Kluyveromyces lactis: one gene and its partner. The protein of the gene in region 2 purifies or fractionates together with the protein of the main gene of each other region. This does not show direct contact. Links are inferred from orthologs where the notes say so. Each region holds a gene or a part of one and is shown on either strand. Other genes may lie near its edges.

Evidence for each region.
Region 1: the proteins of TOF1 (region 2) and MCM6 purify together in Saccharomyces cerevisiae (affinity purification with mass spectrometry; 3 studies listed by BioGRID, with this or other methods). This does not show direct contact. The link is inferred for Kluyveromyces lactis from reciprocal best matches to the Saccharomyces cerevisiae genes TOF1 and MCM6.

The regions. Positions count from the first base shown.
Region 1 is NC_006042.1:935,766-939,698, forward strand, and holds the start of MCM6 (MCM DNA helicase complex subunit MCM6), read right to left. Parts: upstream 2,865-3,933; coding exon 1-2,864. Other genes in the region: KLLA0_F10109g (C2H2-type zinc finger protein), read right to left, coding at 3,430-3,933. UniProt on the Saccharomyces cerevisiae protein: Acts as a component of the MCM2-7 complex (MCM complex) which is the putative replicative helicase essential for 'once per cell cycle' DNA replication initiation and elongation in eukaryotic cells.
Region 2 is NC_006039.1:188,015-191,905, reverse strand, and holds the start of TOF1 (Tof1p), read right to left. Parts: upstream 2,824-3,891; coding exon 1-2,823. UniProt on the Saccharomyces cerevisiae protein: Forms a fork protection complex (FPC) with CSM3 and which is required for chromosome segregation during meiosis and DNA damage repair. FPC coordinates leading and lagging strand synthesis and moves with the replication fork.

The DNA of each region.
Region 1 (3,933 bases), on a different chromosome or scaffold from region 2:
CTTTTGATGACTTTGAATGCCAATTTCCTTTCTTGCCAATATTCTGCTTCGGTGTTGATGTCGTTTTCTTTCTGTTGTAAATACCAATCTACTATCTCAGTTTTTGTCATTTCAGGTTCTTCATTCTTTTCTCTGTCAACCACTTTCCGTACAATTAGATTCATCATTTCCACGTATTTATCATATGATATTGCGACTTTATGTGTTGTGTGATGAGCGTTGTCATGAGACTCTACGTCAGGACCACCCCCCGTTTCGGAGTCGGCGTTCAGTGGTTGAGAAGGTGACTGAGATTGTGTATCAAGTGTTTCGCCGAAGTGTTGTGTGGCAGGTATTGTGCCCTCACCCTCCGTACTTTCTTCTGGGGAGTTATCGTCATCTTCAATTTCAACGTCATCAACATCAACACGGATGATACTCTGTCTCAACAAATCGTACGCCTCAGCGACAAAGCTCGGAACAATTTCATCCACGCAATTAGCACGAGCAATAGCTTCACTTAATCTGATTAATGATTCCAGTTGTCTGACAGTTATACGGTACGAAGATTTACTGTACCCCTGCGCATCGTCTTTCCTTAGTTCTGTATATCTTTTGACTAGGTAGTCACGAGCTTCTTTAGTCATTACCGGCTTGAAAGTCTTGGCATAGTTGATATAACGACTCAATTGTTCTGCTGAGAATGGTGGATTAATAGCAGAGTCCCTCTTCATGTGCAAGTCTACGATGTGGGAAGCTAGCTCAGTATCGATCTTCTCATTGCAATCATCAAGAATGACAAAGAATAAATCGAATCTGGACATAATTGGTGCAGACATGTTCAAATTAGATCTTAAAGTCAGTTTCCTATTGTACCTACCGCCGACGGGATTAGCGGCAGCCAAAATTGAAGTTCTGGCATTTAATGTTGCATGAATACCAGCTTTGGCAATCGAAATGGTTTGCTGTTCCATGGCTTCATGAATAGCAACTTGATCTGCGATATCCATCTTGTCAAATTCGTCGATACAACAAACACCATTATCTGCCAACATTAACGCACCAGCTTCAATAGTGAAATCACCACCTTCTTCATCTTTCACCACAGCTGCAGTCAAACCAGCCGCTGAAGATGCTTTACCGGAAGTATAAACGGCTCTTGGAGAGAAGTTACAGACGTATTTTAGGAATTGAGATTTTGAGGTGGACGGATCACCAACGATACAAATATTAATGTCACCTCTCAATTTAATGCCTTCTACAGTAGTTTTATGAACACCGCTAAGCATTTGTAAAAGGATACCTTTCTTAATGGTTTCATGCCCGAAAACTGCTGGTGCAATCGATTTCACCAGTTTGTCATAAATATTCTCATCTTTCACCATCTCTTTTAATTCATTAATTTCGTCAGAATCAAGCCTTGTTAGGAAAATTTCTTGATCAGTTTCTGCCGCCATTTCATAGTTTTGATAGTTTCTCAAGTTAATATAATCAAATTTGGATGTCTTATCGGCGTCCTCCTCATTAATCCTACTACCATTGAAACTGGTACCAACATTTTCAACATGGCATGCCAAAAACGATATTTTGTAAGTTAAATCTCTAACACCTAATGATTTGAGCCCAGAAATACCTGAGTTCAATCCTTCCGTTGTCCGTGAGATACCTCTAGAATCTGGAGTCGAACTTGCTTTAACACCAGGCAAACCAAGTTGACTAACGTCTGGAACGACAATTTCAGTACCAATAAATTTACATCTATCACCTGGTTTAGCTCTTTCGACACAGTCACCACGAAGAATAATATCTAAGGTTCTTGGCATAGAACCGGATGGAATTTCATTGGAATTTTCTTGAATTCTTACCTTTTGCCAATCCAAGAATTTGGACCTGTTCACGTTTAATGACCAGAAAGATTGGTTCTCACATGTTGGATTTGGACAAGAGGTTGGTTCAGTGTACTTGAAAACTTGTTCCACATTGTCAATAACAGCTCGACACAATTCGCATGTAAAACTGGCTTTGTATAATTCTGGTCTAATTTCCGAAGTTCTCGTGACTGTGCCTGAAATAGCCATTAAAGAACCAATCTTATTAGCCCTAATATCTCTGATTCTATGGACAGTTGGGAGATTCAGGAAACTGATTTGCAAAACACGTTCAACCTGATCTGGATTAGTGGCAATGGTAGATGGGGCAGTGCCTCCTGCGGTGGCAGCCTGCGAAGTTGGCAAAGATGAATCTATTCTTTGCGAAGAGCGGTCCTGAGAATTCTCTTGAGATTGAGAAGGAAGTACAGAGTCAGATGTTAATAATAATCCAGGAGCGTACTTCTTCACCACATTTCTTAGCCCAGATAAAAGGAATGGCAAAAATCTGTAATACTGTTGTAAAATAGCAACCGCTAAAGCTCCGTCTTCCACCTCGGCCAAATGTTTATAGTCAACGTATATGGTATTCAATTCGTACCATCTCATATATTCAATTTGGACTCTATAAACCTTCTCCATCTCACCTGTTTCATCATTGAGGGCGGTGAAATTTGACAAGAAATGTTCGAATGCCTCTCTTACAGTTTCACCAGTTTTATCATCAACCTTTTTGATGGCATTCAAGTTTTTCTGCCTGATCCCGGCTAATGGAGTAATTTCTTGTGAATCATTTTCCATAGCCTCTATTTGTGATTCTGAATTAATGCCTTGCCTAGTGTCATCAGTACCGAAATGTCTATTTCCATCTGACACTCCTCTGGAAGAAGATGGAAACTGGGGAGTTCTGTTTCCTAACGACTGATCATCGAATTGTGAACTATCATAAGCACCTACACTAGAGGGAGGCTGGGATGATTGCTGACCATGTTGAAAAGGACTTGATGGTGCCGACATTGTTGCTGATTTTTTCAGCTTGCTCCAACTATGTCCGGTTTTGGATGAGCCGTTCAACCTGGATGCCCTTCACATTGAAGATCATGTTTTAAGTGTTTCAACATGTAAAATCATTTTTTTAATTTCTGAGTTAAGGCGATTCAATATTACTTTTCCTAAAGAGGTATTGCAAGTATCCAAAATTAGTTAACTGAGGTATAACACGAGGAAAACCATTGACTATCGACCATAACATATCGATAACCAATGCAGCAAAGTTCAATTTAATGGAATTTTTTCTTTTTGATTCGATAGGGAGAAGATAAAACATCGGTGAATTGATAATAAAAATTAATGATACGTAGGTAAGAATTCATCTTATTTAAGCGATATAAGTATATGGACGCGAGGATTTTAGAAAGCTGGCCAGGGATAAAATAGCCCCCCTGACAGTCAGTTGCATTAATGGTGAAGTGAAAATGAATCTAAAATCGAAAGAAAAGAAAAAAATGTAACCAGATAAAATAAACCGAAAATGTTAATGTGGACATAGGTCCACTGAAAAGCCGAATGGAAAAAGATTCAATCATTCTTGGTAATTGTAAGTATAATTGAAAAAGTTCATGAATTGCTGAGTTTCTCTGAAGTGCCTCTCACCCAGAGCGTACTCATTCATTTGTCTTTGTAAAGTAGTATTAATCTTAGGTTCATTCGAGTTATTCGTGAATTTCACTTCTTCTTCCATAGACATGCCTGCTTGCTCGATGTCGAGGGGGAGTACTTCCCAATCAGGATTTATTTGTGACTTTTGATCGGTAGATATGAAGTTCATTTCTTTATGGAGAACAGTATGTTCATGGGAGGATTGGGATGAGATAGACCGTACGGTGTCCAAAGCTGCATCTTCAACTGGTGATTTGTTCAATGAGGAGAATTCATCGAATGGTTGTGTACATTTGCGTAAATGAGTAGCTGTATTTTGAGATCCCGAATGAGGTATTAGTTGTGGTTGTCCTGTGAAGGGGACAGAGTTCGAGGGAGCGAGAGATGGGACACCGTTGCCATACACTTGGTTTTCGAAATGACCGTA
Region 2 (3,891 bases):
ACTAGCTGGTTTTCCAATTTCAGATTCAAATGGAAGAGACCTGTGCTTTTGTATAGTTTCAATTACCAACTGGACCTCAGTAGGAGTTTTATTATTAATGAAATAGCAAGCAGGTTGATTAGCTTCCGGAATTGCAAAACCAGCAAGGATTAAAAGCCTTCTGAATTCGGGCTGTTGGTATAAGGCCCTCTTTATCTCAGAATTAGTAGCATTGAATGCAACTTTTTTTACTCTTTCCTCTTCTAGTGAATTGATGCCTTCTGCTACCTTACCCTTCAATCCATCGAAACTTGACTGTAAATTAAGCAACAAAGCTTCAATCAAATCTTCATATCCATCATCGATAAGACTAGAAACCAAGATTCCAACTTGCATATCTAACAAAACTTTTTTAGGAAGAGAGCCTTCATCTGGAATATTGATAAATGTGCTGGGCAATACTATGTCAGGAGTACCTTCAGTCAACTTCATCTTTCCATGTCTCATATAGTATGATATTTGGGAGTCATGGAGCATTGGGAACAATATATTGATGTACAAAGAAGGCATTTTCTTCAGTTTATTTTTGAGCTGCTTAAGGTAGTACTCATTGAATTTTGTGAAATGAGTTCTTAGCTCAGAAGTTGTAGGCAGACCTTGTTGACTTAGAATTTCTCGACATAATATCATGAAGTCAATTCGAAATAGAAATAATTCTTCCTTCGCTTTGACAAACACTCTCTGAAAGAATTTTAGAACCCTTATGAGGTCTTTGTCCTCCAGTTCTTTGTAAGACTGTAGATATCTGATGTAAGTTGATATCGTTGGTTCTGTCAGATATCCGCGAAAAACCTTATCAAAGTTTATGGTCACTTGTTTAAATTGTTCTTCTAATATATCAAAGGCTGATTCATAGTCTAAATCATTATCTTTTGCATACTTTTCAATTGCTGTGTGATTAAGGTTCACCTTACGCTTCCTTTTTGACTCCACAGTCAACGAGCTGTTCTCATCAAATTTATCAATTGTTTTCAAAACCACATGTGTTAAATTAATGCAAGCTTTAACATATTGTGAAGAATGACTGGTTGCAGATTTTGGGAGAGATGCCAATAGCTGCAACATATTTTCGCTCAAAATCTTACTTATCACAGCTTGAACATCTGCCTCCCATGATTGGTCGAGAGATAATAAAAACTCCAAGTATTCCGTGAACAATAGCATACCCGCATGGACCACTGGCCAATTCTTTTGTTCATAACTCTCTCTCAAATATTTTGTAAAGAGAATGTAACACTCATCTAACAATGCGCCTGAGACATAATCCGGTGTAGCATCAATTTCATAAATGCACCGTGATCTCTGGAATTTCACAAACCACGAAATGAATAACATGTATTCAATCTTATGCAATGGTAATTGATCTTGAATTTCACTCGTAAAACTATCTGTGGCATTTTGCAATAACAAATTGAAACTGGAATCAACAAAATCTGCCAAAAACTCTTTTATGCTAGTAATGTTGTCAGAAGACATGTAAATAGAATTACCTTCAGTACTAAAAAAGCTGCTACTGAGTCCTTCAATAACATCGAGTCTCATAGTGATGGTTTTATTCCATTTTTTTCTTGAGTCTAACTCTTGTAATGCCGCATCATCACGCATGTTGACAGAATTACTAGCAATTGTCAATCGCGTATTTTGAGGTGTCTGTATAGACAATAAACCGCCAAATCTAGAATGACGAGAAGAAGTATTCTTTATTACATTAAGCTTCTTTTCATGTTCCTTTGCAAGTAATTCTGAAAGGTGTTTACCTGACGTTGTCATGTTGGAGTCTGTAATCTCGTGATCCGTACCCAATTTATAAGATTTTCTCTGGTTTTTGAACAATCGGATGGGGTTAATATCTTTTGTTAAGAAGAACATGACCTCTAACAACGGCCAACTAACGAAATTTGGGTCAACAGCGTCTGACAAAGAACTAGCCACTGTTAGAAGAAAGCCAAAAACTTTATTTTTATCAAATGCGGTTATGACACTATTTATGGAAATATCATCAACGGTAATATTCGTTGGTAACATTTCAGCCATAGTCAAAGGTCTCTTCAATCTTTTGACACTGGATATTGTAACTTCACCTGGTTCTATTGCCACCACATTTTTTAGAAAATTAAGAACCATTCGTATCAGAGAGTCATCCCTAGCAGTCCTATGATCTACATCCACACTCATGACGTTCAGGGCTAATCTAATTGCTGCCTTGAGAACCTTTCCGTTTTCTGTTGTCAAAATTGCATGCTTATACAGCAATTGATGCTTTTTCAGCTCAAAGTAATAATTCACTTGGTTATACGATGACTGATCTGTTATGATTAAGGGCCATGTCATCAACACCATAAGTTGCAACGCTCCTAGAGCGATTCTATCATGATATGATTTATTCGGGAAGAAAATCGAGATATCTTCACCTGTTTTTTTACTTTTCCTAGTAGCAGCACTATTTTTTGCCTCCCAATCCAATAGAATAGGTATTAGATCATTCTGCAGGATCTTGAATTCAGCTGTGGCCATTTCTACATCCCATCTCTTCTGGTTATCATCAACTAACTTGAACCAACGAATCAAATCCTTAATACAAGCCAAGCAATCATCACCTACCTTATAAGGTGGATTAACGGAGTCCACAGAGTGATCTGGTCCTCCAATTGCCGTGGCTAACATACCAATTCTTGCCTTAATGATTGTGTATGAAATATCCTGGTATTCATTCTGAATATGTATGTTTTGCCTATCTTCTGCCAGTCTCTCCTTCACAGTATCAACGTCATCGGGTTCTGACATAGTTACCTTCTGTCAAAGCTACGAACCCAAAGAAGTTTTCTAATAGTTTTCTCAACTAATACTAGTTATGTTCGTTGTCAAATTGGTCAAATTGGAAAGAATTTGCCCTCTTGATTAAGGTAGCCCTTCGAATATTCATCCTTTTGTTCAAACGCGTAAAACTGTTGAAAGCTGTTTTATGATCAAAATCTCATTCGATTGGAATTGATTCCTATGAAAAGTAAGACAAAACCAGATCACGTGATTTTGAAAATTGTAATTCTTCGCCCCCCCTATCAATACACGGTACAAGCACTGTTTTATTGCCTCACTATCAGCAATTGATAAGTTTCAATTTTAAATATTAGTTCCGTAACATTTTAGTTAGATTACTGTTCTCCCAACGACGAAACAGAGACGAAAGTCCAAATATCATGCGGGAAAGTAACTCACTGTTCTTGCTTTCAAGCTGAGCTTTCATACCAAACTAAAGGAATAGTAGCAGTCACCATATAATTTCAAGTAGATTGATACCAAACACAAGCCATATATTAAAATATTTGATCAAATTGTATTATACCTGCTCCTATGGCTACTTTGTTCTCCTTTGTGTCAATCTAGAAATAATCTTGCATATTTTTTTTTCGATCTTCATGACCGTATTAGGAACGGTCGTAAATAAAGCGTACAAAAAGCAAAAAATAAGGGTTCTGATTGCACTCGGCTTATGTGACGACATTCTCCGTTAATGAAGAGCAGACATAAGTGGAAAAGCTTTTGAAATTCCTCAAAAAAGACAAAAACACTGCAATAGTGTGTTAAAGATGGTTGGTCCGGTTTGCGATGTCTCATTTGTCAATGAAGATCAATAAGCATTAATCTGTGGTTTTTCCATTTTTTTAACTCATCGATCTGAAATTTGATTTTGAGGTTTTAACTTTCAAATGTAGAGAACATGAATGAGGGAGGTGAATATGTCTACTGAGTGCTGGGGGATTATACATACCGGGTATGTGATCTTGTGTCGTGGTATAGGATCATTGCGGGGAGATACATTGTTCCAATTTCTGAGGCAAAAAATATATTTGA